3 linked regions of the Caenorhabditis elegans genome follow. The protein of the gene in region 3 interacts with the protein of the main gene of each other region in a pairwise test. Each region holds a gene or a part of one and is shown on either strand. Other genes may lie near its edges.

The links.
Region 1: the proteins of szy-4 (region 3) and ephx-1 interact in a two-hybrid assay, tested with the Caenorhabditis elegans proteins (one large-scale study listed by BioGRID).
Region 2: the proteins of szy-4 (region 3) and bath-30 interact in a two-hybrid assay, tested with the Caenorhabditis elegans proteins (one large-scale study listed by BioGRID).

Annotation. Positions count from the first base shown.
Region 1 is NC_003280.10:4,000,497-4,011,284, reverse strand, and holds the start of ephx-1 (SH2 domain-containing protein), read right to left. Parts: upstream 6,372-10,788; coding exon 6,268-6,371; intron 4,544-6,267; coding exon 4,454-4,543; intron 4,405-4,453; coding exon 4,195-4,404; intron 3,394-4,194; coding exon 2,607-3,393; intron 2,524-2,606; coding exon 2,425-2,523; intron 1,642-2,424; coding exon 1,548-1,641; intron 290-1,547; coding exon 212-289; intron 1-211.
Region 2 is NC_003280.10:3,341,424-3,351,328, forward strand, and holds bath-30 (BTB domain-containing protein), read right to left. Parts: upstream 4,956-9,905; 5' UTR 4,949-4,955; coding exon 4,827-4,948; intron 4,778-4,826; coding exon 4,381-4,777; intron 4,335-4,380; coding exon 4,187-4,334; intron 4,144-4,186; coding exon 3,866-4,143; 3' UTR 3,795-3,865; downstream 1-3,794. Other genes in the region: F14D2.11 (Ubiquitin-like domain-containing protein), read right to left, coding at 1-38, 95-521, 571-648; F14D2.15 (BTB domain-containing protein), read right to left, coding at 970-1,092, 1,139-1,290, 1,344-1,482, 1,529-1,736, 1,791-1,955, 2,002-2,114; bath-28 (F-box domain-containing protein), read right to left, coding at 2,363-2,560, 2,602-3,109, 3,157-3,234, 3,292-3,396, 3,471-3,511; F14D2.14 (FBA_2 domain-containing protein), read right to left, coding at 5,397-5,646, 5,697-5,803, 5,859-5,942, 5,991-6,092; F14D2.8 (F-box domain-containing protein), read right to left, coding at 6,151-6,433, 6,492-6,584, 7,310-7,534, 7,582-7,688, 7,736-7,825, 7,882-7,917; bath-29 (BTB domain-containing protein), read left to right, coding at 8,836-8,957, 9,006-9,402, 9,449-9,596.
Region 3 is NC_003280.10:6,192,997-6,204,454, reverse strand, and holds szy-4 (Suppressor of ZYg-1), read right to left. Parts: upstream 5,760-11,458; 5' UTR 5,666-5,759; coding exon 5,563-5,665; intron 5,513-5,562; coding exon 5,424-5,512; intron 5,379-5,423; coding exon 5,208-5,378; intron 5,163-5,207; coding exon 4,901-5,162; intron 4,853-4,900; coding exon 4,345-4,852; intron 4,279-4,344; coding exon 4,132-4,278; intron 4,086-4,131; coding exon 3,825-4,085; intron 3,778-3,824; coding exon 3,219-3,777; intron 3,168-3,218; coding exon 3,048-3,167; 3' UTR 2,841-3,047; downstream 1-2,840. Other genes in the region: G-protein coupled receptor daf-37, read left to right, coding at 36-304, 1,048-1,163; C30B5.17 (Kringle domain-containing protein), read left to right, coding at 1,471-1,561, 1,607-2,005, 2,455-2,561, 2,604-2,840; C30B5.2 (Vacuolar protein sorting-associated protein 55 homolog), read right to left, coding at 6,527-6,649, 6,736-6,919, 6,963-7,038, 7,205-7,220; rbmx-2 (RRM domain-containing protein), read left to right, coding at 7,520-7,698, 7,746-7,875, 8,002-8,601; cpb-2 (Cytoplasmic polyadenylation element-binding protein 2), read right to left, coding at 9,323-9,511, 9,563-10,338, 10,388-10,623, 10,673-10,847, 11,190-11,458.

The sequences.
Region 1 (10,788 bases), 2.2 Mb from region 3:
AAGAATAAATTTCAGTAGTTTCAACTTGATGCTCAACAAATTTCGTAAAAATACCTTATTATTAAAAATATATAGAACAATCGAAAGAATATTGTTAATTGGAAATTTCAGAATTAACCAGAAAAAAGTGTGTTGAGATTTCTCTAATAGACAGGATAAATGTTTTTAAACTAGGTAGAAACTGAAAAAAGCTGAAAATTCAGTAACTCACGGGATCGACAAACGTAGTCCGGAAACGCCTTGTTCAGCTGTTCTTCTAATTGTCGGTACATAGAAGAGCGACGGTCATCTGTAAATATGTAATATGGGAAAACAATTTCATTTCTCTCTCTCTCTCTCTCTCTCTCCTTTTTCGAAAAGCAAGGAAAAAAACGAGAAAAGTGCAGTTCTTTTTTTTTGTTTTTCTCAGTCTCTCTCTCTCTCTGACTGTCTTTGCAATATTTGCCGTAATGTATACAGAGTGTGAAGAAGACGACGATGAGCAATTCGTCAGAGGAACGGAAGAAGCGAAGGAATTGTTTTGGTAAGTGAAAAAAAAGGTGAGAGGAGGAGAAGGATATTATTAAAAAAGTTGTGTGTCTCTGGGTGTATGTGTGTGACTATTCGTTTTCCGATTGTACTACTAGTCGGATTCAGAGGGGATGGAAGGGCAAGAAATAGCTGGAAATCTGGGTTTGGCATATAGTTGAAAAACTTTTTCGAGGCAGTTAAAAAATATGTAGATATAGTTTTTTAGAAATTTTTAAAATTTGAAAGGATTTTTTCCAATTTTTCAAATCATCTAGCACAGTTTAAGGACTATTTTTTTTGGCTAATTTGTTGCAATTGTTTCGAGAAAAATTAATTTGAAAAGTTTGAACAAATGTTGAACAAAAGGCATTCTTGAGTACCAATTTTAATTGGAATTTGTAAAATTCAAAGTTAGGCAGTTTGTGCCTGCTAGCATGTACCAAACACCAGAGTTTAACAGAAAATCGGCAGGCAGGCATTGACGCCTACTCACTATGAGAAATTTAATTATGAAATATAAACCAGTGAAGTGTCGGCTGCTCGAAACTTTCCAACCATGAGCTTGCAAAAAAGTTGTTAATTAACAAAATTTAGCCAATGCTTTAGAAGAGCTCGGGATTTTTGAGGACATTGAAAAATTCAAAAGATTTTATCTATGCCAATTTTAATTTTAAAAAATCATTTAAAAAACAAAAAAAACGTGCACAGAAAATTTGAACATTTTTCGAGAATAATTCCATTATTAGGTTTTCAATTTCCATCTTGGAAATACGAGTATTTTGTGAATTTCTGCATGGCTTTTTTCCGAAAAAAAAAATTACAAAAAAAGCAAATTCCTAGTATTACAGTAGGCTTACGACACCTCCCTGACAATAGATTTAGTGTAAGCATTTGTGAATAGTAGGATGAAATCAAAACCACCGGAACTAAGATCATAATTCCTACGTTGACATGATTTTTCAACAATTGGACATGGTAGGAGGTAACCAGTGAAGGGAAAAGGGGAAAAAAGAATTTGTAAACTAGCAAAAGCTTACCGTGATAAATATCATCATCATCACTGCTCCAATCATCCCCATAAATGTGATCGTCATCCTGGAACGGCTTGTCAACGCAAGACGATTTTGACATCTGGAAAATTCAAAAATTACAACAAATAAATGTGAAAAAAGGGAAATGGAAATAATTCCGGAATTTGCCTAAACAAATTACATAAATTTCAATTTAATTTTTTGGATACTTTTACTTTGGAAATTCATTCGTCAACCGAAAAATCCAACAAAAAATTCAGAAAATCATTTAAAAATGTTTCCTGAAAAACTCAAAAAAATCTTTAAAACTTTGACAGAAAAACTCAAAAACCGTTTTTAAATTGGCTTAAAGTTCATAGACTCCAAAAAAATTATGACCAGAAAATTCAGAAAATCTAAGGAGTTTTCTACTATTTCTATTTAAAAAAATTACTAAAATGTTAACTGGGAATTTTAGAAAACATGTAAAAAATTTGACCAGAAATTTCAAGTTCCAGGTAAAAAATTTAATCAGAGGTGTCATGAAAACTTTAAAGTTTTGACAAAAAATTCCAAAAATTTTTATATTATAATTTGATTGAAAATTACAGAATATCTATAAAAATTTCAATTAAAAATTATAGAATTTTGAAATAACTGACTTGAAATTTCAGAAAAAAATAGACTTTAATGAAAAATCAAATTCCTGGAAATTATTAAAAAAATTTTAATATTGACTAAAAATGCAATAAACAAAAATTTGCTTCAAAAAATTTAGAGTAAACCTTTTTAATAATTCTAAAAAACTGCCTAGAAATTTCAGAAATTATTTTCAAAAAACTTACTTCAAATTTTTTTAAATAAATTTTTTTAGTTTCTGGATATTTTTTCTCAAAAAACTCACCATAGAACTAAAATCAGTGTCCAGTAGATCAACACTGACGTGGCACTTTGATCGTCTCTTCGCTTGTTTGTCGCCGACTTTCTGCCGTAATTGGCTAACCTTCAATCAGAATTAGTTTGATTTGTCTTTCTTGTTTTGTTTTCTGAATACCCAAAAAGGAACAAAAAAAACAAAGCACCAACCTTTTTCGACAAATTAAGCTGCAACTCGCTCTTGAACCTGAACAGCTTTTCCAGCTCCATTGAGCTCATCCTTTTCGAGGATTTTGGATTCCTTTGGAGAGTTGAGGAAAGGAAGCGCTCTTTGATTTCCGGCACTTTTTGAAATCTTTGTTCTTCCAGAAGCTCCTCTTCAGCTTCATCAAAGATTTCCTCATCCCGAGGATAAGCCCGTCTGCTTGAATTGGGCTCTGACCCGGAGGCTCTAGGAGGCTCCGGCCTTGAAAAGTCGGTAGACTGAGATTCATAGGTGTACTCGGATTCTAGACGTTGATGTGTAGGTATACATGTGTTTGATGATGGCGTGACCAGCATAATTTCATCGTAACAGTTGTCGTCATCCAGTGGAATAAAAGGGACATCTGGGACGGGGATATTCGGGATTCTCGGGAGACCTCCTGTGCTGGAGGATGTTGAGCTGCTCCGGAAACTGACCGGCAGGGTGTCAAATTGATTGGTAACTGGGGGTGGAGGTGGTGGGGTCTTCAGACGAGCCCTGGGCAGCGTGGCAGACATAGACCTCGGCGCGGGAGTAGGCTTCAGGTAGGAAGGAATCCTCTTGATCCTCTCCTTAGACGGAGGTACAGATGGTAGAGGTGGTGGTGGAGATACAGCGGAAAGATCTTCTGACGAAGAAATTGGAATTGTTAAGGACACTCGACACCGCTCCTCGTACACTGGGTGACCATCTTTTTTGGAATGGAAAGATGGAGAAGGGGAACTTTCAACAATCATGCTTGTTGTTTGAAGACTGAAATAGAAAGGGATTCTTATTTACATTTCTGATTCGTGAATCATAGAGAACCTTGAAACATTCGAAAAATGAGTCACTGTGGGTGGAATTGAAAAAAAAAGTTTTTTTTAGAAATTAGTTTTTTGTTTGAAATTTTTAATGGTTTTTCGAAGTGGTTTCATTGAAATTTTGCTTTATTTATAAAGAACTATTTAAAAATTTGTCTGTTTTGTATTTTTATAAAATTGTATTCTATTGAAGTAAAAAAAGTAACTTTTCAAAACTTTAATCAAGATTTTGAAAGCCGGAAGGTTTTGGAAACTGAAATGTTTTGAAGAGAAATTGAATTGAAATTTTTAAATTTGAATTTTTTGAAATTTTATTTGAAGATATTGTTGTAAAAGATTATTGTTGTAAAATTTATAAAGCTTCAAAATTGCCAAAAGTTCAATTTTTGTATAGTATTTCAAACTAAATTATTTAAAATAAAGTTTTAGACTGAAAATTTTCAGAACAACTTTAAAACTTTGATTAAAAACATTATTTTTTAAAATTACCCCTACAGTACCCCACATCACTCCTACAGCATTCCACAATACCCTACAGTAACCTTACTGTACCCCTACAGTACTACTACAGTACCCCTACAGAATACCTACAGTATTCCTATAGTACCCACGATGTAATCTTACATTAATCTACAGTATCCCACAATACCCTACAGTAGCCCTACTGTACCCCCACAGTTCTTCTACAGTAATCCACAATACCCCTCAAGTTGTCATACAGTACTCCTACAGTACCCCTCATTTCACCTACCGTAATCTAGGTGCAGGTAGCGGTGTTATCACAATTGGAGCACCCGATGCTCCGGCACCCGTCGGTGAAAAGTCGCCAGTGGATTTGCTCTTCCGAAATTCAGAAGATGTGACCAGGACGGCGAGCTCCGAGTTGCTCCGCGTTCGTCGTTTCAACGAACTTTTCCGTCGCGGTATGGCGCTTCCACGTAGCACTCGTGATGTGCACGGCCTGAAAAACAAGCAAATTAAGAGCAAAACTGAAGAGGAAAATTACTTACTCGTGAAGGTTTTCCACTACCCGGAACTTGCCGATTCGTTTGGAGATCACCGGTTTGTGGTGCTCAATTCGGCTTGTGCTGGTTTCGAATCTGGAAATCGGAAATAGCTTTTGGAAGATCAATTTTAAAATTGCAAATTCAACAAGTCGCCGACTAATCAGCGTATTCTAATAGGCGTGGCTAACGTCGCTGATTGGTTGGCGCAATTTTTTTTAAATTTTACATTCTATAATACTACAAAAAACGAAACGTTTCGGCAAACTCAAAAATTGTTTAACAATCTCTCCAAATGACCATATCGTAAAAAGGAGTGGTCAGTGATGAGGCGTGGTGGGAATATTTGATAACAATAATAATAAAATGATGGTGATAAGGCAGGGGGAGCGGGGAGACATACACATTTTGGAAATTCTTCAGAGATGTACTAATGAAGAGAGGGATGCGGTAGGTAGGTTCCTAGGCAGGCAGGCGCTAAAGCTAGGAGATGGTAAATTCCAAATAATATACATCCTAAAGTTGAAGTTTGGGTGAAAGTTGGAGAAAGTTTCCAAAAGATTCTGAACATTTTTAATGCTTTTTTAAGCTTTCAAAGTTGAGCTGATATTAGAGTAAAACTTCATAAAAAGTTGCCAAACTTCTCCGAACCATCTCTAAAACTCCAACAATTTTCCCACGAAGAAGCTTCTGGAAGAAATGACGACGCCCTCGGTCTCTCTTTACTTCTTCAACCGTTTTTCTTCCTGTCCGGTTTCAATATATTATGTCAATCAACCGAAGGGTAATGTGCTGCTATTGTTGGCTGGAGAACAACTGTGTTGGAGTGAGTGTGTGAAGGAGGAGGAAAAGTAGTATTTGTTTGACAATCATACAGAAATTGAATTGCAGACATATAAACAAAAAACTTTTTTTTTAAACGAAGAAGCATAGGACAAGAGAAAAGTTAATTTTCTAGCTGGTTATTCTATTGGTATGAAAATTTTGTGTTCTACACTTTGGCAGCTTATGTATATTCCGGTGAAATTCAAAAATATCCAAAATTGGTCAATTGCAAAACTATTGGAAAATTTAAAACCAAGATTTTCTCAGTTAAGAACTTTTTGATAAAAAACTATGACAACTTAGATATGAGCTGCCAAAATTAAACTTAAATAAATATTTTTTGAAAAAATGGATAGAATCTATGTGTCAACAAGCAGGCGGGGACAGTTTTTCAAAAATAAATGTTTGGTAAAAGTTTGGCTGAAAATAAGCAACGATGACACGTACAAAGTGGGAAAAAGCTACAGTACTCCTACAGTACCCCTACAGTTATCCTAGAGTACTCATACAGTACCCATACAGTTATCCTCCTACAATACCTATACAGTACTCCAATTTGTTCCTCTACAGTACCCTAAACTGGTACTACAGATGTTATTACAGTAAAAGCCTCATTTTGTCCCTTCAGTACCTATGCAGTACTCCTAAAATAGTCGAACAGGTTCCTACAACACTTCTGCAGTACTCCTACAGTTCCTCTACAGTGCCCTTACCGGCACTACATCTGTGAAAGCCTCCCACTGCCCCTACAGTACTCCTACAGTACCTACAGTACCCCTGAAGTAGTCCACCCTACAGTATTTCTACAATACCTCTATATCACTCCTACAGTACCCTACAGTATTCCTACCGTACTCCTACAGTACCCCCACAGTGTCCCTACTATACCCTACTACCCTGCAGTACTGTACCCCAAAAACCTTATAGTACCACTTCTACAGTAACCTTAAAATATCTCTACACTCTACAAAATCCTATAAAAAATGCTGTCTTACCTCTTGGCAAGTTCCTTAACACTGGGCAATCGCATTTTCGTCGTCGTCGTCGTTGTCGCGATCTTCTGGGCTTCTGATGTCGTCGTTGATGGTGCATTGGACATTAGATTTTGGCTCAGATTACCCCCAGACACTGTAAATTTCATATATTTATTTGATTATGTTTTATTAATCTAAAAATAGAGTTTTTTTTTCAAAAAAAGCGAGAAAAAGAGGAAAAGAAAACAGAGGAGATGCATGCAACAACTCTCGATGGGTTAATCGCTTGATTCAACATTTGAATGTGTGAGTGGAGCCCCCCGAGAGAGCAAGTGGGAAAAAGAGCACAATAATATTGATGATGATTGGGGCGAATGTTTATACTGCGCACCACATACACACTTCCCCAAAAAATCGCGGAAAAAATTTTCATGATGAAAAAAACATCTTCCTTTTCAAGAGCTTTTGGGAATGATAAGCCGAGGAGGGGTTGCCTACATTGTGTCTGCCTAGGGCCTACCTAATGCCTACCTAGTGCCTGCCTAGTGTCTGCCTAGCACCTGCCTAGTGCCTATTTGGCACTTCCTATCTACGACCTACAGAGTGCTTTCCTAGTGCCAGCCTAATGTCTGCCTAGAACCTACCTTCTGCCTGCCTAGTGTCTGCCTAGTGCATGCCTAGTGCCTGCCGAGCGCCATTACAATTAGAAGCAAACTATAAAAATATTTCTTAAAAGCTTATTCAGAAAGAACAGAACTAGTCTGTCGACCTAGCCGTCTCGGCTACTTTGCTTCAGCTATGTAATGGCTACTTCCAGACCAGCACTTAATACAGACCCCCTTTTCAACATTTTTCCAATTTGCCAAAGAAATGTGTGAAGTACTTAAAAGAATAAAAAAAGTTAGTACAATAGACTCTAACAACAAAGAAACCTTGAAAAATGGGGGTCAATTACATTTCTTTTTCTGAAGTGAGGTTAAATGGTAAGTGAAATTTTTATACAAAGCTTCTCCTAGTAAATATGCATTTTGCAAAATCTTCAAAAGTGCTGCACAATGAGCAGAACACACGACAGGAAGCGCCTTTTCTCCTGCGAGACCATGGTCAGTGGTGGTCAATGCGCGAGAATCGGGAGACGAGGAGACGCAGATGGATAAGGAAAATGTGTGAAAAACATACGGGAGGCAAGGATTGCAATTTGCATTTACTGACCGCGAGCACAATGTTGATGGGTGAGTGACATTCGAGAGGACTACGAAATGGATATTGCAATATTGCACTTGAGTTTTTTTGTTTTTTTATGCTTCAAGAGCACCACTTCTACCTCAGAGTTCATGCTTATTAGGAGGGTTACTAGTTAGATTCAGGCTTCACAAGAAAGTCTAAAGGCTCAGGCTTAGGCTTATTCTTAGGCTCAGGACTATGCTTAGGCTCGTCTCCAGTATCTAAGTATCTAATTCCAAAATTTCAGACTTCTCTTCGACCTTCATTAAATTTCGACCAATCCTCAAGGTTAAAACGAAAAATTCTTAGGGCTTTAAGCATATCCTTCTTTTTGAATTTTTGCTAAATTTTCAGACTTTCAAAACTTTCAAAAAAGTATAAATCGCATAAAAAGCTAACCCTTGAATTTTACGTATTTACAAAGCGCAGAATGGCATCTACGCTCATAACTCATGAAATTTGATTGATGAACAGCTTGCTAGTCGAGAGTAATATTGTTCCGAGGGGAAGGGTGACACATACGGAAAAGCCATGACAAAGTGAAATTGGTTGGTATTTGAAAAAGGTCAAAACTAGAACTTTTCAGATTTTTTTAAAGTTTAGAAGTTTTAAAACTAGTTTTCTAGCTACTATTTTAAAAGGTGTTGTGCTCCCGTGACCTCCCACACAGAATCAAATATTTGAACTTTCAAACGAGCGTAACAAAAGACTATTTGCACAATCACAGATACACAACACACATTCTTGAATGATTTCGAACACTTTCCGGTTTTTGAACTTTTTTTTGAATTATTAGTTGATCAAAATAACTTTAAAAAATTCTGCTAGGTGTTCCTGGAAATTCTATAGGTACGAAAATATTGTGTAAATTTTTCTGAAAAGTTTTGAGGTTTTGACAAAAATATTCAAGCTAGCTCCGAAAGAAGACAATTTCAGATATTTGACTACTTTATCGATTTCTAGAGGGATTATACTTTTCTGGAATTTTTTTTGGAAATTAATCGGGTTTTTTAACTAAAAATTGTATCATAATTTCTTTAGACAAATGTCTAAAGAAATGTCAAATTTTTTTCTTAAAAAAACGAAAAATTCTAAAAATTTTCAAAAAGCAAATTTAGCTTAATAAGCTTGCCCACGTGGCGTCAGGATGTCCCATCTCGGTTTGATCTACAAGAATTGCGGGAATTTAGACGCTGTCTTTTCAACTGATTTTACATGGATATAAACGTGCTGACGTCACATTTTTTGGGAAAAAATTACCCGCATTTTTCGTAGATCAAATTGTAATGGGGCAACCTGACACCACGTGCTTGCACTAAATATTCTCCAAATCAAAATAAAAGTTCAAAAGAACCGAAAACTGAAACACTGTTGTTGATACTAATGAAAAGTAAACAGCCCACGCCGATTGTGTAAAAGAGAGGTTTCGAGTGAGAGGGGGGATTGGTCTTTCTGCATAACCCTCAAGGGATTTATAGTAGAAGAGACGAGAGATTTAGAGAGTGAAAGGAAATGTAGTAGTACGACATGCAAATGTACAAGTTCACACTCCCTTTTCCTCGTTCTCAAAAGAATCAAATCGTTTCCGTACAGGTGCTCAGTCAGCTGGAAGACAATTCGGTGGTTATTGTATTAAAATTTGATGGTCAATTGGACTATTTGTTGCGAATCTATAATAGTTTTATTTCTATTTTCCTGTTCAATTTACAATGTCCCAGTGCCAAGTGCTCTCGTACGAAATGTGTAAAGATTTTACCGCTGCACTCTATTAAATATATCAATTGACTTTTGAGAGAGAAGCGGCTCGCTTCGGTGCCAAAGGTGACAAGATATATGGGAGGCGGGAAATTGCGAGAAATTGAACTTTTTGAAAGAAAAAAAAACGTTTTGGAGATTTTTATCGCCCATTTTAAAGCGAGGATTCGGAAAAGAAAAATATTGGGAACTTTCTGAAATTTTCTTTTTTGGAATTTAAAATATTTTTGAAATTTTCTAAGTCTTTTAGGCATTCTCATACTCATTTTTTGAAGAATTTTCAGAACACAGTTACTTTAAAAAAATACAGACAGTTTTGGCAGGCCTACGCCTACCTGCCTTCAGACCTACCTACGTTTGTATTCTAGACGACCTACAAGTGCCCTTTTGCCTTAGAGGTTACCTACATCGACGCCTGGTTGACTTCGAGGTGACCTCACCTGCCTGTTTCTAAGGCGTCCTAGGCAGGGGTGCGCGGCAATTGCCGAACGGCAATTCTACAAAATGAGACGGTTGGGCATGTTTCCCCGATCTTTTTCATTAAAATTTGATGATACAATATAGAAAAATATTTTCTCTATCTGAAAATGATTTTTATTTGACTTAAAACAACCGAGAAAGTGTTCAAAAATTGTCCGAAAGTTGAAAATTGCCGATAAAAATTTCCGAAAAATTGACGGCAATTTTCAGCTTTCGGACAATTTTTGAACACTTTCTCGGTTGTTTCAAGTCAAATAAAAGTCATTTTCAGATAGAGAAAATATTTTTCTATATTGTATCATCAAATTTTAATAAAAAAGATCGGGGAAACATGCCCAACCGTCTCATTTTGTAGAATTGCCGTTCGGCAATTGCCGCGCACCCTTGGTCCTAGGCTTGCCTGTATCTAATAAGGCGACCTACATCTGCCTCGTTGCTTTTCAGGTACCTACGGTCAAAGTTCACGTAAACAAGTGAATGTAAAGTGGTAAACATTATCTAGGTAGGCATGCTTGAGGCAGGCCTGTGGCAGGCCTGGAGCAGACTGAGTTAGACAGCTTAAGCCTATGATCTTCTATGTATTACATTTTGTTGCTATTTTATCAAATTTCGAATAAACAAACAAACAAACGATGAAAGCGCAAATATAAATTAAAGTGTCAATTTGAGATTTACCGCATTTTAAACTATAAATTGCCAGAACAAATTGACAATTTGTTTTCAAAATCAGGATAAAATTATGGACATTCCACACAAAACATTTCAACTTAAAATTAAAAAAAACAACAAAATTTTATAATTAATAAGGTCAAGATTTGTCAACTTATCTCATCACACGACATAATTTAAAGAGTACTTTGTAAAATCCATTGAACAATTGAAAAGAGAAATCAGGGATTCAGTGTGGGAGATAGGGCAGCAACAAGACAGTACCAATTGCATTCAAACCAGTTTCAATTTGGAAAACATACTGATTACACTTCGGTGAAAGTGGTCATTGTACGGTCAAAAAACACACATTCACTGAAAGGAAAAAAAGTTTGAAGTTGACGGCCGCAATTGGCCAAACTTGGGTGGTTTGTA
Region 2 (9,905 bases), 2.9 Mb from region 3:
GTACTCGCCAAAAGTGATCTGATCGGAGAGCGGCTTTCCTGAATAACAAATGGTGAACATACTTATTTAATTTTTTTAAAGAATAATTTCCTACCTCCGTAGCTCATCCGTGTACTCCTAGCATTATGACATAATTGCATTTTTCCTTGCTCAACTGTATCCGAAGCATTAACGTTAAGAGTGCGAGTTTTTCCATTTAATCGAACAAAATACTGGAACTTTGGCATGGAAGAATTTTTCATCTTTGTATTCTTTACTTGAAGACATCTTTTACGTAGCATCTCATTTAGCGATAGTTTTCTGTCATCTTTCACTTCATTTTCCTTTACAGTAGTTGCTTTCATAGAATCCACTTCCTTTCGAATAGCTCCAACTTCTTCCAGCAATTTTTTCTGATTCTTTTGAATTTTGTGGAGCTCGTCGAGAATTGAAGTGTTAATCTCGTCCTGAGCATCTTGTCGCTTTGAAATCTTCTCGCAACATTTTTGAACTTCAATCAATCGATATTCTAATGGCGAAGTCTGTAAAAAATGAAGAATTTAAATTTAAATCAATCCGAATATAACTAGCCGTGAGTGAAGAATGACTTTTTGAAGATTCCTGGCGAAGTTTTTGAAATTCAGACATCAAATCTTGCTTTTCAGTCATTTTTGCGGAGGATCGCTGAAAGAACTTTCAGTTATTGAGAATTGCAAAAAAAAAACGGAAAAAAATGTTTTTTACTACGGTAGATTCCCGAATGTGCAGTGTGTACGTTACAGTCACTATATTTGACGCGCAATTCTTGGAGTACGGTGGATTTTTTGCTTTGAAATTGAAAGTTTTTTCCTGATATTTTCGGATAAACTTGCTTTTTTTCCGACAAAAATTCAAATTCCAAGCTTCTAGTAGTTCAAATTTCTCTGTAATGTCGAAGAGTGATCATTCATTAAAACATTGGAATATACATTTAAAAATCGAGGGAAAAAATCAATGAAATTGCAAAGATCTTCGGAAAAGCTCGACTATTGCAGTATGATGAATGGTGAGAACGTCCGGTGGAAGCATGAGACGAAGAGCCGTCGATGTTTTGATGTTTTCAACGCAATTCTTCTGAAAATATCGATTTTTCATTGAAAATCCCATAGAAATTACTAACATTAAGCTTCTTCAAATGGAATTTATTAGATAACTCGAACAATTTTCTTATTGATTTGCTCGATTTATCGATTAAAAAGTTCTCGCAAGCCGTAATAATTCTCTCCGTCTCGAAAAATTTACCGAGAAGCAGGATTCCTTCGACGAAATTATCTGAAAATTGGGGGAAAATTATAGATTTTTTGCGATTTTTCTGCAAATCACACCATGAATAGTAGAAAATCCGTACAAAATTTCCAGATATTTCTGAAAATCATCTGTATCCACATCGGGAAGTTGAATTTCTGAATCCAATGTACATTCTTTGAGGAGATTTTTAAAATATGGAGAATGCAGAGCGAGGTGCTGAAAAAAAACAATTTTTTTTCGATTAATTGGAGTAAATCGATACCTGTTTCAGAACATAAAACCTCTGTCCTCTCACAATAAGCACTGTATCAGCGAACCGTCTAGTGACGTCACTACCGAAATCCACACGCTTCTGGAAATCATGATAGCCGGTCATATCGATAATTTCCACGTGTCCTTCGATGGAAAGGTATTTTGAATAATCCAAATTGCTCCATTTGAAAGATTCGCAACGATTGGAAGTTGACGGTCTGAAAATTTGGAAAATCAGCTATTTTTATAGATTTTCCGCAAAAAAAAACTACATTTCAGCATCGCTTTTGCTTCCAGAAAACTTGAAATTCTCTGAAATTACTCCATGATCCGATTCGACACGAACATTGAAGTTTCCATGAAAATTAGTGGATCCCGTTCCACTTTTTCCCAAATCTACGTAGAGAAATTGATCATCACGAGTTACGCGCAGCCACCTGGAAATAAATTCGTTAAAAATCGATTTTTAGGGGAAATTCCAACCATTTAATACCGAAATGATCCTCCTCTTCACTAGTATAATGCTCTGTTTTCTTCATGAGCCAGGTTTTTTTTAAATTGAATCGCAGGACGAATTCCTTTTTTGAATTGCTCATTTTGTGACGGAGATCTGAAAAATAATGGTTTTTAGCTAAAAATTCAATTTTTCCGATTAAAAATCGCAGAACTTTTTTTGGTTCTTATGAGGAAAAGCCTGGAAAACTGATATTAACTTTAAAAATAACGCAGAAAAATATATCTCATCGAATTAAACAATAGTATTTTAATATAAATATTTCTACAATTTTTAACAACAAAGAGTATTAATTTTCACTCAAGAATTAACAAAATAACAAGGTTAAGATTAACAATTTTTCTTTTCGACTTTAAAAAACTCTTTGCAGATTGTCAAAAGGAATTCATCGCCGTGGAACTCCTTAATATCAGAAGTACGAAGATAACCAAAATCGTAGACTGGGACGAAAACTCTCGCAACTTCCGGTTGAATTGATTGATGAGCCCAAATTACGCCGCTTTTGAAGTGAGGAATATTCATGATGATCTGAAATAACATATAGATAATTTTCAGATAATCGATTTTGCCTGCTTCCACTGTTCCATCTCGAATAAGTCAGTTAATCGATAATTTCGTGTGAATGGCGTGTTCGCGAGATGCAAGTACCACGAAATATCGATTTCCTCAAGAACACCTGGTTTGAAGCGGGACAGGAGGAAAATGAAATCGCTGAGCTCGAATCCGGATAGCTTGAGCATTTTTGTGTGAATCGGGTTGCTTGCTTCGAACCACTTCACAATATTTCCTTGTTCCATGGTAGCGTAGATCACGAGCTTGTCCAGCTGAAGTCTAGGATTCTTCAGCACCACAGCAAGCTCATCCAAAAGTCCATTCAAAGAAGTAAACTCAGATTTTTCCGAACGCTTTGTGCCTTTAATTATGCCTCCAGAAACCGTCATACTGTAGAAAGAAGACTGACTATTCGCCCAAAGCAAGCACATATCATCAGTGACGCGAACCTCGACGGTCTTGAAGCCTGGATCGGTGGAATCGATGGCATCGCGCAGTTTACGGCACACTTTGCGGACGGAAAGTCTGAAATTACTATTGATTCTATAAAAATCCATAGTATTTGATTGTACCGATTGAATGGATCCAGATTTTCCACAATTTTGCCGAGCACTTCCATTGACATATCCGACAGAGTTGGAGGTTCTGAGCTGAAATTACAAGAATTTAGGTATAATATTGATTTTTTTAAATGGATATTTACATACAAGAATGTTTCCGGCGCCGTTTCCATCGACAAATCGGATAGCGAAGAATCGTCGGAACTATTGATCGGATCCAGATTGTCAGGAATCAGCGTTGGCGCGGAGGAGCTGAAATTAAGACAAATTTTAGTTTAAAAACTGTTTGGAAAATTTTTCACCGGTGAGCGGTGAAAAAAACGAACATTTTAATCGAATCCAACACGTTCGCCAATTTATCCGCCATTTTCCGAGCGATTTGGTTGAAATTTGTAGTTTTCTGAAAAATAAGTGAATTAAAGTGTACAATTTCATTGAAAAATTCTTTGAAATTCGCGAAAAATGAAAAAGAACTCAAAAAACAACAAATTATCGGAAAACTTGCTCACACTAATCGTCAAATTAAATGCCAGGTACGCAGTTGTGTATTGCGTACTTCACCGTCTACCGTAGTCAGATTAAATAGTTTTTTTTTGATATTCAACTAAAAAACCGTTTAATAAAACGAGATAAAAGCCAACAAAAAAATTAAGAAGCACTAGAATTTATTAAATGGCACATCTGAAGCGAGTAAAATGGATTTTGTTTGATAAAATACATATTATTTCATTAAAGTGAGTGATTTTGTGAAAAGAGCCGCCAACGTAGAGTGATCGATGCTGGAAATGTCCGATGGGATCATAGAACGAAGATCGAAGGGAGATTTGATCATTGAAATGCAGAATTGTTTCAAATTCTCCAAATTAAACTTTATCGCCATTTGTAGCTTCTTCTTGTAGGTTTTTCCGGTGGTTTGAATGAGAAAATCCTCGCAAAGCTCGGAGACAAGCGGCGTTTGGTACATATCAGCCAGCAAAAGGATTCCTTCAACAGTATTATCTGAAAAAAACTATTATTTCAGTGAAAAATCAATAGTTTTTACCATTAATAACCGGAAATCCGTACAAAACTTCGAGAAATTTCTGAAAATCGTCTACATCAATGTCGTAGAGAGGCACTTCGGTAAGTTTCGCCTCGTAGAAACCGCCGAGGAACAGGGATTCGAAGAAAGTTGAATGAAAGGCGAGGAACTGGAAATTATTTTGATTTTAACGTTAAAATATTCAATTTTTGAACTTTTTTCAGCAAATAAAATCGCTGTCCATCCACCAAAACCACAATATCCGAGTATTCTTTCTTTTTCTCATCGAAATTCATTAATTTCGGCGTATAAAATCCAATTGATTTATTAATAATTACACGGGCTTCTACAGTGATACTTCCAGCATCCATAAAGCTTGTTTCCAGCTCATTCCAGCTAATAAACTCGCTCCAGCCGTACGAGGAGTAGAATTTTCCAGAATCGTGTCCAAAACACATGTCTGTCTTGCATTTTTGATCCCTGGTGTCAGAGTAGACTGAAATAAGCTTCAGCTCAAGCTCCGTGAACATTGACCACATTTCCTGGCCTTTAAGTTTCCTACATCGGAGATAAATGCCGAGATTTCCGTTGTTTCGCTGAATTTGGAAGATCCTGAAAACATATTTTCACAATAAATTAATTTTTTCTTGAATTTAATTACCACGGAACATTGAAATATTCCTCCACTGTGCTGATTCTCATATCATTTTCATTCATATTTGATACATCGTTAAATACATAACGGATCACGAACTCCTTGCCAGTGACTGAGCTTCGGCTCATTTTCAGTCTGAAATTGGTATTTAAATGGTGCGAAACAGAGCATTTTTGTTTTACAATATGATTTTGTTAAGTTTTAACAATTAATTAAATAGAAAACTATTGAAAACAAAGGAAAACGAAGCGAAATGGAAATTCAAAAAATAGATTTTCGAAAACTTGTTTCACTGACTACGGTAGATTTTCGTTTCTGCATAGTGTTTGCGTCCTACACACTGGATTTCACGCGCATTTCTCGCACTGCGGTAGTTGATTTTTAAAATTAAAATTACACTTTTTTATGTGAAAAACAACGTAAAATGTTCGTGTAAAAGCTCTATTCGTCCCAATAAGCCCAACCAAAATTTTACTGGCCGTTTTCACTTTCATAAAGTACTTCAACACAACAACTTTATTCAACAAATCAACAAAAGAAAACAAAATAACAACAACAAAATTAGAAAAATCCAAATCAGTCAGAATCTGAGTTGTATTGATATTCATATTCGTCGTCAGAAGAATAGTCGCAATCTTCATCTGAATCGATGTCAGTCCAGATCGGCCAATCTTCCTCAAAATCGATATCTTGAAGATTCGACGGAATAACTCGACACGAGACTCCCCATTCGAATTCGAAATCGTCCCTGCAACACTTCTTGACAAGAATTTGCTTGGCAAGGTTGTCGGTGCGAAGTCTCAATCCTTGATGGTCTTGGAAATTTCTGTAAAATAGAAAATAATATATAAACTGTTGCACTAATGGAAGACTCACACAACACGGTCTTTGAAACAACTATTGACCAACGACATTACGTGGTCAGGTTCGTACGATCCTTGTCGGAAACGAGTTCCAATTGCAGAATCACCCGAGATGAGCCGCTGAAAGTGATTTTGATTTTTATTAATTTTTCCATCAAGAACCAATTAACGATACCTCAATTTGAAAGTTCATAAGCAATTCACGTGAGCCGTACATGCCGCCAACTGTTGAGATTGTCACCTGCTTGCAGTTCACAATCTGAAACATTTTACAGGTGAAATTTCGTTGGAAACTGGAACGACCTACAATTGGATTTTCGACAAGCTCCTTCATATCAGTCGTTTCGTTGTTGTAGTGAATAATCTCGACAGATTCGAGCCCATTGCACTTGTTCAGAACATAAAGCATTTCGCTTGTGTTATTCGAATCGAGCTTCAAGAACTTGACATTCAAAGATTTTTGGTTCCTATAACGGGGCGAGCACTTCGTTGATTCCTTTGTCTGAGTCTGTTTGGATGTAGAGCTTCTGCATGGTTCCGACATTGACAGCATAGAGAAGACGTGGAATAACATGGCTTTTGACAACAGATTCGGTGTCGCACACATCCAATTGAGCATTCTCCTTGTCAAGAAATGTAGCTACAAGACTTTTCGAATATCCTAAGATTTCGAAATATACTTGATAAAAGTGAAGCTTCTCAGAGCCCACGAGATTTTTTTCTTCACTGGCAGTGTAGCGGAGGTTGAATCTGAAAATTATTAAAAGAATAGAAATTTACAAGATTTTCAATTAGGAAAGTGACTTACCTCGTCTCGAAATCCATTTTTTGAATGCATTGAAGTTTGAATTCCGGCGGCAAATCACACCAATTCGTTTCGTACTCCGGTTCGCCCATTTTACTGGAAAATCAATAATTTATAATTAATTGGTGTTTTTAGAATAACAATAAAAGCAAAAAAAATAACGTTTTCGCACAATTTTCAACCAGGATTCTGAAGAAAAAGGTGAAAAATAGTCAATGTACCGTACTCTACGAAACTTCTAGAAGTGCGCGTGAGATGTGATACATTGTGTGCGAACACTTTGCGGACATTGCGTTCTACCGTAGTCTTCTCAATTTCGGATTTGGAAAACTCTAATGGTGCGTCCATAGTCTGCGGAAAACGGGAATTTCCCGCGTGCGGAAGCGTCCATAGTCTGCGGAAAAACCGGAGTTCCTCGCTTTTTTTTCCTCAAAATTCAAAAAAGTAGGCGTGGCAAACCAATCAGCTGTTGTTTCTTGTTTTCCCATTGCTCAGTTTAAAATTTTACAGCCTCTAATTGGTTGAACACGCTCACTATTTTGAAATTGACCAATAACAAAGCGAGAAACTCCTTGTTTTTTCCGCAGACGCTTCCGCACGCGGGAAATTCCCGTTTTCCGCAGACTATGGACGCACCATAAATCGATTTTTGAAGGTACAAAAGAGCTGAAGTGAAACAGTATTTCGAAGAAAAATTAACGAGATAACAAATGATGCTTTAATGGAAAACAATAATTCAAAACAATAACAAGATTAATTAATCAGGTAACCATAGCCATTCTTCTTAAGAAAATAGTGAATGATAGCTGTTCGAGTCATACCAGTCATCCCATTCATCATAATTTCTGATCGGCTCTCTATCCGCATCGGGGTCGTTATCATTCCAGCCTGGCCACACGGCAACAAATCCAGTTTCGTGAAGATCCGAAGGAATGACTTGACACAAAATTCCCCACGCCTTTGAATATCGATCGCATTTTGTGAGAAGAATGTGTTTGGCAGGATTATTAGTTTGAAGTCTCAATTCGTCGTTTTTCTTGAAATGGCTGTAAAAAATCAGTCATTTTAATGTTCGGCATCAGGGAACACTCACACAACACGATCTTTGAAATTTGTGCTCATCATATCCATACATTGATCGGCATCCCATTTTTTGAATCGATAATTTATTCCAATTGTTGCATTATTCGAAATCAAACTCTGAAAGTAATATTTGTTGGCCTTGTTCGCAAATTGTTGAAACAAACCTCAATCTGATAGTTCACGAGTAAATCCATATTTTCTGGGTTGACGGGATAGTACCATTTAGAGAAAGCCACATTTTTGTAGTTGGAGACCTAAATGATAATAATTATTATTTGCAAATACAATGGAAATCGCTTGTCGAACTAACAATTAATGCTTCGACAAGCTCTTTCATATCATTCATATCATATTCATTTCTTTCATATCATATCGTTGTCCCTTTGGTCAGTTTCAATAGTATTCAGTTGTTTCTTGTCACATTTTTCCAAAAAGAATAGAATATCGTTGTTGCTCTCCAAGCCGAGATGAAGGTTTTTGACATTCAATGAAATCGATCCCGTAAATGGAGAAAGTGTTTCGTTTAGAAGCCGTTCGGTGGTATTCCAGATGTGAAGTTGTTGAATTTTTCCAACTTTTAAAGCGAAGAGAAGACGTGGGAGCAGTTTACGTTCACTGCACCACCCGTCAACGTGTAGATCAGCTTCTAGCTTTCCAGTAAACGTTACTTCGAAATAAATGAAATTCCAATTGATTTTCATCAATTCAAATGAGATCTTCTGGGAGTCCACGAGGCGCATCTCTTCGCTGGAAGTGTATCGCAGGTTAAATCTGAATATAATTTTTAATAAGTTATTTGGTGAAATTTAGATAACCTCGTTTCGAAATCCATTTTTTGAATGCATTGAAGTTTGAAATCCGACGGCAACTCGGGCCAAAGTTCGAACTTATCCAGTTCGGTCATTTTCCTGAAGAAAAAATAGATTATAAACGTATTTTTAAGGAATAAATGTCAGGTTTTAAAACGTTTCGCAATAAAAATTCGGCCAAAAAACGATAGCTTTAATCGGAAAATGAAAAAAAAAACCAGTTAAAAAATTTTATAAATAAAAATACCGTAGTGCGAGAATTGCGCGTGGAGTGAAGTGTGAAGGACGCAAACACTTTGCAGAAACAAAAATCTACCGTAGTCAGTGAAACAAGTTTTCGAAAATCTATTTTTTGAATTTGAATTTCGCTTCATTTTCCGCGTTTTTTTTCAATGTTTTTCATCTAATTTTAATTTGAAATTTAACAAAATTTTAAACTTAATTTCAGGCTGAAAATGAGCCGAAGCCAAGTCACCGGCAAAGAATTTGTGCTCCGTTGTGTATTTAACGATGTATCAAATATGAATGACAATGATATGAGATTCGGCACAGTGGAGGAATATTTCAATGTTCCGTGGTAATTAAAATCAAGAAAAATGAATTTATTGTGAAAATATGTTTTCAGGATCTTCCAAATTCAGCGAAACAACGGAAATCTCGGCATTTATCTCCGATGTACGAATCTCAAGGACCAGGAAATGTGGTCGATCTTCTCGGAGCTTGAGCTGAAGCTTGTTTCAGTTTATTCCGACACCAGGGATCAAAAATGCAAGATAGACATGTGTTTTGGACACGATTCTGGAAAATTCTACTCCTCGTACGGCTGGAGCGAGTTTATTAGCTGGAATGAGCTGGAAACAAGCTTTATGGAAGCCGGAAGTATCACTGTAGAAGCCCGCGTGCTTATTAATAAATCAATTGGATTTTATACACCGAAATTAATGGATTTCGACGAGAAAATGATGGAATACTCGGATATTGTGGTTTTGGTGAATGGACAACGATTTTATTTGCTGAAAAAGGTTTAAAAATTGAATATTTTAACGTTAAAATCAAAATAATTTCCAGTTCCTCGCCTTTCATTCAACTTTCTTCGAATCCCTGTTCCTCGGCGGTTTCTACGAGGCGAAACTCGCCGAAGTGCCCCTCTACGACATTGATGTAGACGATTTTCAGAAGTTTCTCGAAGTTTTGTACGGATTCCCGGTTATTAATGGTAAAAACCATTGATTTTTCACTAATGGGGTTATTCAAGTAATGTCGGAAAATTAAAAAGTGTATTTAAATACATATTTTGCCTTATGGGGTTATTCAAGTAATGTAGCAAAATGTATTTAAATACATTTGTGACGTCACAAATGTATTAAAATACATGTTTTTATGTATTTTAATACAGTTGTGACGTAATTTTTCTACACTTTTTAATTTTTCTACACTTTTTAATTTTCCGACACTACTTGAATAACCCCATTATTCAAGTAACAATAAAAACATGTATTTAAATACATTTGTGACGTAATTTTTC
Region 3 (11,458 bases):
ACATGATTTCACTTAACCTTTTTTCTCATTTTCAGAAAAGAACTAGTTGTGGTATACGGATGTGGAATCCGAGGAATCTCGCTGAGGCTTCCTGTTCAAGATAAATTTGTCATTTGGAGGCATTGGAAGCGAACAAAGTCTCGAATATCGATGAATACAACGAATCGAACTCGGCACAAAATATCTCTTCCACAGACACTTGTTGAGCATGCGAATTTGGAAAGACTCGAAGAAACTCGTTTCTTAGCTCATCATGAAGATGGTGTACAGACGCAAGTGTCGCCAATTCATGCTCTCAGAAATGGTATGGTTTTTTAAATTATTTTTATAAGAAACCAACATTTGAGAATTTTTTGATATCAAAAAATAACGCGGTTCAATATGAATAGCAAAACTTTACTTGGTTCAGAAGTTGGACAGACTAGGGCAAGGCTTTGTTTATGTCGCGCCCATGTTTAGATTATGTGTGCTCCAACTTGCCAATGACTTACCAAAGCTTAAAACGCCACAAAAAACTTGGCTGAAAGATCGGCAAGAGTTAAATCAAACTTCTGCAAAATTGTAACACGGCCCAAACCAAGTCTTGATAAAGTTTAACCCTACTTTTTAACTAATAGTAAGTTACAATTTTTGGTCGAGTCTTGGGAAAAAGAAACAATCTCAATTGAAACGAGAATGCTCTTTTTTACTAGAATTTAGTTCTTACTAGATATCCAAAGCTAGGTATACAAATGTCTAGTAGGAATTCTGATGTCAGAAGTTATTTTTGAAATATGAACGCTCTAGAATGCAAATCAGGGGAATGAGTGGTAACTAAATTTGGTCAAAATGTTATGGACATCCGGAAGTTTTATTTGGCAATTCATTCATATTTTCTAAATGTTATTTTTCTATAAAGTATCAATGTCTAAAGTGAAGAATTTATGTGTCTAGCCAAACAAACTTAAAATTCAGCTATAATATATCATTACCTGAAAAGCTATAATAGAGAAGGATCATCTTCGGCCTAGCCTTCTATAACTAAAACAAATCTTCATTTCTTTCCAGGATCGACTCCAAAAATTGATACACTACAAGACTTGACATCGAATGGAAGACCGTGTAAAACAAGCATAATCGATGATAATGGAACTGTTGTGTGTACAGTTACAGAGTTCCCATAATTTTTTTAAATGAAAGAATATGTATTAATTTGAAACTATGTGCCTGTATTGTTAACTCTTATGTTTGCTAAATTCTTCATACGGTTGTGATTCAATAAACTTGTGAATTTCTTATTCATGTTTCGTTACGAAATTTTACATTTATTAAACGAAAATCTTACAAATAGACGACAAAGTGAGTAATGATTAAAAAACACATCTGTAACATTTGGAACGTGTATTTCCAAAATGACGGAAATTTTAGGGGAAACCGCGTTGTAATGCTTTTTCTATAAAAATTTATTTATCTTTATTTAACGCTCAAAAAATGAAAATTCTTGTCAATATCTTGATTTTAATCAGAATAACGTCTGGAATGTTATATGACGGGAAGTATTTCGACATGAAAGACCGAATTCGTAAGTACATTTTCTATTTGTCATATCTCAAAATTGAACTTTCAGGTGCTGAATGTATTATCAAAAAAGCAATGTCTGATTATAAATATCTCGGAAATAACGACAAATCAGTCAATGGAGAACCATGTGTTCCATGGATTGAGGTCACAGAATCATGGCTCCCCACTGCGAGTGATTCTCAGAAAATGAAAAAACAAGCTTCGGAGAGCTTCCATCATTCAAAATGCAGAAATATTAAATTATCAGTTGTTAACCCAATGTACTCTGTTTCCACGCCATCTGCAATTGAAACTGGCATTCCTTCCGGTATCCATGGTCCATGGTGCTTCATAGACAAGGTTGGAACTAATGGTACAGAAAGTTTCAAGTACACTCCCGTCACTTGCTTCAATTATTGCGATGAGACAAAAGTGGCAACGGACAATGAAAAAATGAGATTGACAGGTACGGTTTGCCTGAATATTGTAATTCCGAGAAAGTTTGAAGCGCCTTATCAAAGGCACACGTTACTTTTCTGAATGGGTCTTGCCACGATCCCAGTTATGTTTATCAGACGCAAAAATTGCACCCAAAATACGATACCCGGTCTCGACACGATTTTTTTTGTAGAGTTCATTCGGGCGTGCGTCTCTAAAGAGTACTGTAATTTCAAACTTCCATTCCTACGGAAATTTCATCAATCGTCCATAGTTTTTCGTTCAAAAGAGTTATTTATCAAAAAAAACAATGAAAAATCGTTAAAAATTTAACAGAAACGAGATTTCGAAATTACAGTACTACTCTTCAAAGGCGCACGCCTTTTGGCATTTAACAAAAGTTTCGTGTCAAGACCAGGTAACGTACCTTTTGCACAAAAATCTAAATCGGTTAAAAAATCGTAGATCAATTTTTAGAAAATGGATATGCAATACTGAAACAAAACTATAATCCGGCACTCTTAGATCCAATCGAGAAACTTTTCACGGAGTATCAGTTTGGAAACATGAAGTATTATACATTTGTGAGTTGCTAAAATATCTTCTAAAAATATTGTTTTTTTCAGAAAAAGTCTCGTGAGCAGCCTCCTCAATATTTAGAACTTCGTCAGAAAGTTTTCATAGCCTTATGCCTCGTCTTTTGTGTAGTCATCGCCTGGATACTTTCGTGCTACTTCCTCAAGAAACATTCCCAAAAACTCCATCAAAAGAAGCAGAAGGCGTTGGAAGGATTCTATGAAAGCAACAACTTGGCAGATATAAAATTGCAAGCAGATTTGAGAAGAGAACGAGAAGAAGCATGAAACTGTATTCGATTTGAATTGATAATAAACAAATGAAAACAATCACATAATTGTGCGAATAACATGCATAAAAATGACAACATGAAAACTAGGAAAGTGCAGTACAAATAATAACATGACATACAGTATAATTGGTTAAAACAAGTGCAATAAAACGATAAATGTGGGAATAAAACAATGCAAATAGATTGGATGAGAAAACAAACATTATTCTTTCGGCTGTTCGTCACTGAAGTTTTGATTGTCCATCAGCTTCTCATCTTCCTCATTCTCATACTTCTTGTGTGATCTTTCGAACTCGCCAGTGTTGTAAACAGAAGTTGATGGCTGGAATGTTTAATGAATTTTGAACTGTAAATAATAATTATTACAAGTTACCGCAGAGGCAGAACGAGACCTCGACGTTTCGTCATTAAAATTGATTGGAGGAACTTTCGTGATAGGAGATGGGACAAATGATGTCAAGAAGGCTGACGGATCGGTGAGACGAACCCCAGAGTCTGGATGTATGTAGGTGAAATGATGGCCTGGCGTTTGCTCAGTGCAGACCACTTCGGATGCTCCGCTAGGGGTGAAATGCTCGTCAGTAGCATTCTGATAGACTTGGCTAGAATCCATTGGGAATGAAGGGAAATAACTATTCAGAGCATAGAATGGTGTTGGACTGTTGAACTGATTGTTGTTGATTAGGAAATGCGGATCCGAGAAGAACATTGGTGGATGAGCGTTGATTGGATTCTTGAAGTTTGAGCTGTCCATCGAACTGAATGATTTCATAAGCGGAGACACAGGTGGTCGAAGTGTGCTTGGAGTAGACAATGTCCTCATCACATCTTGCATTGACGCTACTGGTTTGAATCTTGATTCATCCTCAAAGACTTCATCGTCAATTTGACCATTTATTCCTTGCTGACGTTCACCTTCAGAATTGACGGACCTGAAACATTTAATAATGTTTTTAAGAACTTGCATACAAGATCTCACTTTGCGAATCCATCTGTACTATCTTCGTATGTCTTCAAACCAATCCATTGCAATGACTCACTATTTCTTTCAGATCTGCTAATACCAATTCTACACGTCGATGGGCCCTCAGCATTCGCTTCCATGCTGTGTTTCAATTCGTCATAAGTAAAATGGCGAGACCTCTCAGTGAGAGAATCAGAGTGGGTCCTCGTATTTTGATATATTGTCTTCGGCAATTTCGGTCTCGGACGCTCTTCAGTTTCAGACATATCAAATTCTCTGTAAAAAATTTAATTTGAAATTAGTAGGATATTTTTTTTGAAACCTTTTCAGAGAAGCAAATGATCTGCATTTCTTTTCGACCTGTCGTCTTTTCATCCTAATTGCATCTTGCTCTATTTTTCTTTCGTGATAACTAGCTACAGCATTAGCTTGTTTGCGTGGTGAATTTTGTTTCAGGATCTCTGGTACTCTGGAAGAAAGTATATAAATTGTAACATATGCAATTTATCATTGTATTGAACGTTAGGCAACTTACACATATGGTCTGGGATCTCTGTAGATAAGTGTGTCGTCACTCCGTTTAATAAATCCAGCAGGAAGTGGAGGTTGTGCCGAATTGGCAAAGGCTATCCAAAAATCATTTTGTGATTTTGCTAACCCAGCATCAACTGCTTTCTTGGAGTACGGGCAATTGGCGAAAAGCGGCAAGTCGTCCATCGTCATAGGAGGCGGAATTTTTCTCATAGATATGAGTGTTTTAATAATGACATCTTGAAGTTCAATAACTTCTTGTGGATTGAGCTCCTTGCTGATGTAAAATAATGTTCCTTGTTGATCCTCTTCTACATGTTTTTTGATTCTCACACGTTTATTAGCAACAATATCTCGACGAAGTTGATCTGCAAACTCTGAGAAGACAATCGCACGATCCTGGTTCGCCTTTCTCATTCGGTCGGTGACCGATAAAGACTTGACCGACTGATCCTTATTCCGATTATCAATTTTTGGTATATAGACGCGTTGAACAACAAACTCTTTGCTATCTGAAATATGAAAATAATGTAATTATGTTCTCAAGTGTTATTCGTTACCATCATCAGAAAACTCTCCAGGTGAAGTTTTTCGAACTTTATGTGGTGGATGATAAATCATAGTACGAGTTGTAGCATCGCCAGAATTATCGACATCTGACATACAATTCCCGAATACTTTTCTAATGGATCGAAATGTTTGGCATCCTTTGCGGTTGCAGCGGTATGCTGGGTATTCGCGTGCTTGTCCACGATAACGAGTTCTCCTCAAACACAAGTTCATCATTTCATTGCAGAGGTGACACTCGATAGCTACTGGAATCTAAAAATAAAATTTGCAAAAAAAGTTATGAGCTCTAGATCGCACTCTATATTTAATTCCTCGCACTTCCACTTCGCAATTATCGATTCCATCATCTAATACTTCGCAAGCATCATCGTCTTCAATAATTGCACGGAATACTGAATCTTTATCTTCCAGCCCGCCCTCATATATAACGTCATCAGCTTGTTTCGATAGGGACTCGTTCGCATGATCCTAAAAACAAAAATTATGCATTTTTCTCTTCATTCAATCACAAACCGATAGTTGAACTCCGGAGTTTGCAGATTCTTCCCGATTTTGAGAATCACATCCACACATGGCAGGCAATCTTTCTGGGAGTGAGCTATCTGAAAGTAAATAAAATTTATCCATAAATTTTAAATAAAACTAAAGATACCATTTATTGAAGGATTATTGGCGCTCATTGAAGTCTTCACGGTTTTATCTTCCGAAGCACTCGAGTTAACGAGACTTTCGGAGGGAGAATTGTCCTTGTTCATAGTTTTCAATTCATGAAATTTAACTTAAACAAAATAGAAAAAATGGGATAGCACAAGATTGATCAAGCAAATTTGTTGATGACAAATGAAAAATTTTTAAAAGTAGCGCGCGCACAATGCTGTTTGGAATCACCCAACGAGACCTTAACAGAAATTTGGTGAATGTTCCTTTAAATTTGCCAATGTTACGGTATACCGTATCAATTAAAGTTTATTTTTTTTGAGTTTTTAATTGAAAGCTTATAAAAGCACGATATCAGTTCTGACGAATAAGTGAATGAAATGAAAATACCGTGAAATATTCAATAGTTCTCCTGCCCAAATACATGTTAGACATTGAGGAAGGCTGTATCAAAATCGAACGCAAGTTAATTAAACTATAACGTTCATAACTTTTGAATTTCATGAGTTGTAATTACATGAAATGAGCAAACGCTCTGAGTTTAATATTGTAGTTTCCAGAAATTAATTACAGTTGGAAGTCTAATACAGTTTTTATTTTGGTAACTTTTATTTGCCAAATTTACAGAACAATTCTTTATATTTATACAATGTTTGAGAATCCACCGAGGAAAGTGAGAGTAACGAAGTAGAATATAGGGAAAATCGAAAAAGAATAAGTTAGGAGATGATGACCAGACGATTGTTACCACAATGACATCCCATTCATATCCTCGCCGTTGAAAATGCGGAAGTAAAAAATGATGACGCTAAAGTTGATTGAATTGGCGATGAAGATTAGGAAGCACGCGGACATCGCTATCTGAAAAAAATTAACATGTTGTACAAGGTTTAGCGATAATTGAAATAAATAGACGAACCACAATTACTTGACAAGAAATTAATAGTGAAGTGAATGATTTAGAACAGAGACTGGCTCCAGCTTCCACTGTCGTCATCACGATGCAAGTAGAAATATGCAATAATTGTACCGAACATAATCACAGATCCTGTATTGACGAGGAAGCATGCACTGTTTGCTATCTGAATTGGACATTTATTCATGCGTTACATAAACTTATTCACATCATTCCACATTTACCCAAAATTTGATCTTAAATTATACTTACCGTTCCTGCATGTGCCAGCACTATCGGAAGAGCAAAGGCGGAGATGACAATTCCAGTGGTGATGAAGAGAGCTAATTCAATGCATGCATTTGTTCCAGTCATATCTTCTTGGAAGCGTCTGGCGATGAGAAGTGGTACCGGCGAAAGAACGTAGAATGTGATAACAAACATTGGGGTCCATGTTCTAAAAAATGAATATTAGCATTTTCAAGACGTTTAAAACTAACCCGTACCTAGGCAGGGCACATCCAAGAACGAGGAAAGTGAGGCCAACAACTCCGGCGAACGCCAGTGCAGCAACAGCTAAAATTGTATTTTTCATAGAGCAGCAATCGAAACACTGTATATGAATATGACAGCACATTATGAATCTTTCAGGGAATAAAAATTATCAGAAGAATGTTCAATTCAAATAAGCGTGGATTTAAGAAAATATAAAACTTTAATTTCACGTTAAAAACATAAATACCTCGTACTCCTCCCATTATGAACTCGTGTCTTGAAAACTTATTTGATGAATAAATCCAGGTTCCCTGAAACAAGTTATATGACCGAAAAGATAATTATTACACAAAAACAAAGAGAAAAATCGATGCAAGCAACTGAAGACAGAAATGGGGAAAGCGCGAGATGTGTGCATTCTGACGTCGCTGTGTTTGCAGACTTTCGACCGTACCCCTTTTCAATTTACGAAATCTAGTTTTCTCTTTAATTTCCATTATTCCGTGTTGCGATCTTGTTTTCAGTTATATTTCACTGATTAATTAACATTTTGCAGTAAAACATGAATCCGATTACGAATATCAAAAATCAGAACCGTATGAACGAGCGGGAGCTCAGTTTGGGTTACGCTGGAGATCTCAAAAAATCGTGGCATCAAACTTACAAAGATTCTGCCTGGATTTACATTGGTGGTTTGTCATACGCACTTTCAGAAGGGGATGTTATTGCCGTTTTCTCTCAGTGAGTTTTGCAAAAAATTGTTTCTCAATTTATAAAGTTCTTTTCAGATATGGCGAAGTTATGAATATCAATTTAATTCGAGATAAGGACACAGGAAAGTCGAAAGGATTTGCTTTTTTGTGTTACAAAGATCAAAGAAGTACGATTTTGGCAGTGGACAACTTCAATGGAATCAGCGTAAGTTTTTAATTCATTTAAAAAAAATGCAAAGATGCTGATAGAACATTAATATAAAGCCTTTTTCAAATTTTTCAAATAAAATCGATCGTTTAAACGACAACAAAAATAGTATTTTGTTTTCAGTTACACAAACGAATGATTCGTGTAGATCATGTGGAAGAATATAAAGTCCCGAAATACAAAGAAGATGCCGATGATGAAACGAAACGATTATGGGAAGAAGGATGTGCTCCAAAACCAGTAATGAGAGAAGCAGCACCTATGGAAGTTCAAGAACAGAGAATCAAGAAAGCCAAAGAAGTATTATTAGATATTGGAGATGTTGATGAAGAGTTGCTGAAAAAAATCAAAAAAGATAAGAAGAAAGCAAAAAAGGAGAAGAAGCGGGAAAAGAAGAGAGCAAAGAAAATTCGAAAATTGGAGAAGAAAGCTGCAAGAGATCCAGATGGGGATTGGAATAATAAAGCCAAACTTATCGATAAAGTTGTGGCTGAAGATGATTTGTATGGTGAGAACAAGCACTTTGATTTTGGAAAGAAGAAAGAAGTTGAAGAAGTTAAACATAATCCAAGACCAGATTTTGAGAAAGCTGATTGGAGAGATATTGAAATCTGGAAAGTCATCCGAGAACGAGAGAAGGCAGAGAAAGCAGCAAGAGGAGAAACATCAGAAGCGTGGGGTCCAGAGGATCATTATGTGTCAAAAAGATATCAAGGAAGATGAATATTTGTTTTTTCTCACTTTAATAAATTTTTATTTGTTTTTTTAAATCGTCAACTGCCATGGCATTGCAATTAGAACCAACTTTTGTGGAAAATTAGTTTTGTCGAAAATACACACACCCTTGCAAAAAAACTCACAGTCTAGTTGGAAAGTACAGTATACCCATTACAATCCAAACTATCTTATTATTTCAATCACACTTCCCCATGTCTTCCGAAGCTCTCAAAAAGTACAAAATCTCAGTATAAAGTGATATTCTAGTCGTAAAATGGTACTCGTGATCGAAACTCTGAAGCTTCTGTATCCGAGAGTATTTCGAATTTTACTTCCTTATGCACACACCACGTTTCAATTAAATTGCTCAAAAACGTCTCCGAACACCACCAATAAATGCAACAAATTTTGTTGTGATGGGAACATCGAAATCCACAAGGAACATTGAATCTGCCAACAACCATGGAAACGAATTAACTAATTTTTTTTTAATTTTCAAAACAGAAACTTGAAATTTTTGAATACATCAACTACAGTACGCCGTAGTAACATACTCGAGTACGGTAGCTATGAGATTTCGGTCGCTTCAAGACCGGGTTCCGAATTATTCGAATTTCCAAAAAATCGCAGAGACTAGCAACTTGAATATAAATCTTTATTAATTCAAAAGTAGTCAAATTACATGAAAATACGAGTTAAAACAAATTTATTTCAAAGACATTAGTGCTCAGACTCCCTTGACAACTGGCATGTGATGGAAACGACTTGGATGCGAATGCATTTTGTGCCAACACGGCTCACAGTAGTACTGGAAGCACTCAAGAGATGGACAGAAGTATGGAGCATGTTGACGATGATAACGACCCGAACATTCCTCGCAAGATTGGTTGTGAAAGAAGTATGGCTTGATCTCCACCTGAACTTAATTTAAATGAGATTCTCAACAATATTAATGAATATTCAATACCCTCTTGTGAATATCCTCATGATCCAGAACAATATAACGATCAGTGATTGCTTGAACGTACGCATCGTAGTCAGAGAAAGCAACACGTCCGGATCCACGTGGATATTTAAATTTATTGTCGATATCAATGCCAACACACACAACATGCCCATAAGTTTGCTCGAAGAAATGAGCCAACTCGACTGCTTTCAACGGTCTCGGAACACCACCAATAAATGCCACAAGTTTTGTGTTGATGGGAACATTGAAATCCATAAGGAACTCAGCATCTGCCAACAACCATGGACGAATCTGCACACGAATTGAATCAGTCGAACTTTCCAAAGTGATGAAAAGTCCTTCTTCTTCTTCGAAACAATCCAAAACCAAATCACGAACACTTCGTTCTTTCTCGAAAAGGAGAAACACGTATCCAAGGTGATGCTGTCTCTTATCTCCATTGATACTTCCATCACTTTTTGTACTTCCAAATCCAAGATTTCCTCTAGCAACTTGAGCCATACCAGGATTCAAGAATCCTCCGATACTTCCACTTGAAATCCTACCGAATCCACCCGTTTGAGAAGATTCCGATTGAGCTGGCATATTTCTCATGAATGGATTAATCTCTCCGAATGGTGGAGATACCATTGCAAGATGAGACGACGGTTGGTAAGAAGAAGAACTGATTGGTTCATTACACAATGAAGGATCCGAATCAGACTTGCATTCGTAATGTTTTGATGGCCAATCAACTTGCAGGCGTCCGTATCGAGAGAAGAAGTTGAGAATATCACCTGGAAATTAATAAAAAATAAAATATTTACAGAATAAGTTTGAACTTACTCTCTTTGACACAAGAAGGCAATCCACCAACAAAAACTTTCCGACTGTATACTTCGGGTCCAACATTGTGATGATAGTAATACTTCGAGTATCTTCCGAGTCGACGATCCGGTTCTCGAAAATTAGAAACAATCACTGCTTGTCTGTTACGCAGCTGAATTTCAGAACTCGTCGCATTTGTATTGGATGTGCATCTCAAGATCTGATTGATTTGAGGGCTAGAACGCAGTTCCAGTCTGAAAATTCAATTCATTTAAAATACTACGTGGATTCAAAATATTCTACCTTTTCCGAGTTTTTTCATACAAATCAATGAACTGTTTGTCATAGTTCTCAGCAGCATCCTTGTGCATGCTTCTAGTCAAGAAAATGACCTCCGGACGTGAACTGAAGTATTCCCGAAAGTTGTTGTAGAATTCGTCGTCTAATTCCAAAGGCATCTTCTCAGTAACTTTGACTTCTGGAAAAGATGTTTCGTTGAGTAAATGGTTTCAGAGAAATTAATAATTAAAAAATCTAAACATATTTTGTAAACATGTGACACGCATAAAAGGTCATAACGATTTTTCAAGGCTTTTGTGGCGCTTCGATGATGTTTCGTGGATTTATCTAGCGGACATGTGGCGAAAATAGAGACGACTAGTTTTTCAACTGAATAAGAAACTTAAATACTAATTTTTCACCAAGATGAAAAGAGCGACAACTTCACAGTTGTGCCACTGGCAGGATCTCAAGGTTTTTTGCGAAAACTATATCGATCAATGTATACTTTTACAACCAATTTGAGTTCCTAGAAACTCACCAGAACAGTGAATTTTTGCTTCGGTATTCTCCGGACACGTCACAGGATCCTCACTCTCCACCAAGTTTATCTTCTCCAATGGAGTGCTGGAATTCCAGTCCTGTCTTTCACGAAACATATCATTGGATTTGGCATTTTGCTGTTCCAATTCTTGAGTGACCAAGTTATTTTGTTTGAAAAAATGTTCATCTAGCACATCATCTTTTGCAGTGTCCATCATACCACGACATTTACGACGATTCATCTTCGACAGCTTGTGTTCTTCAAAT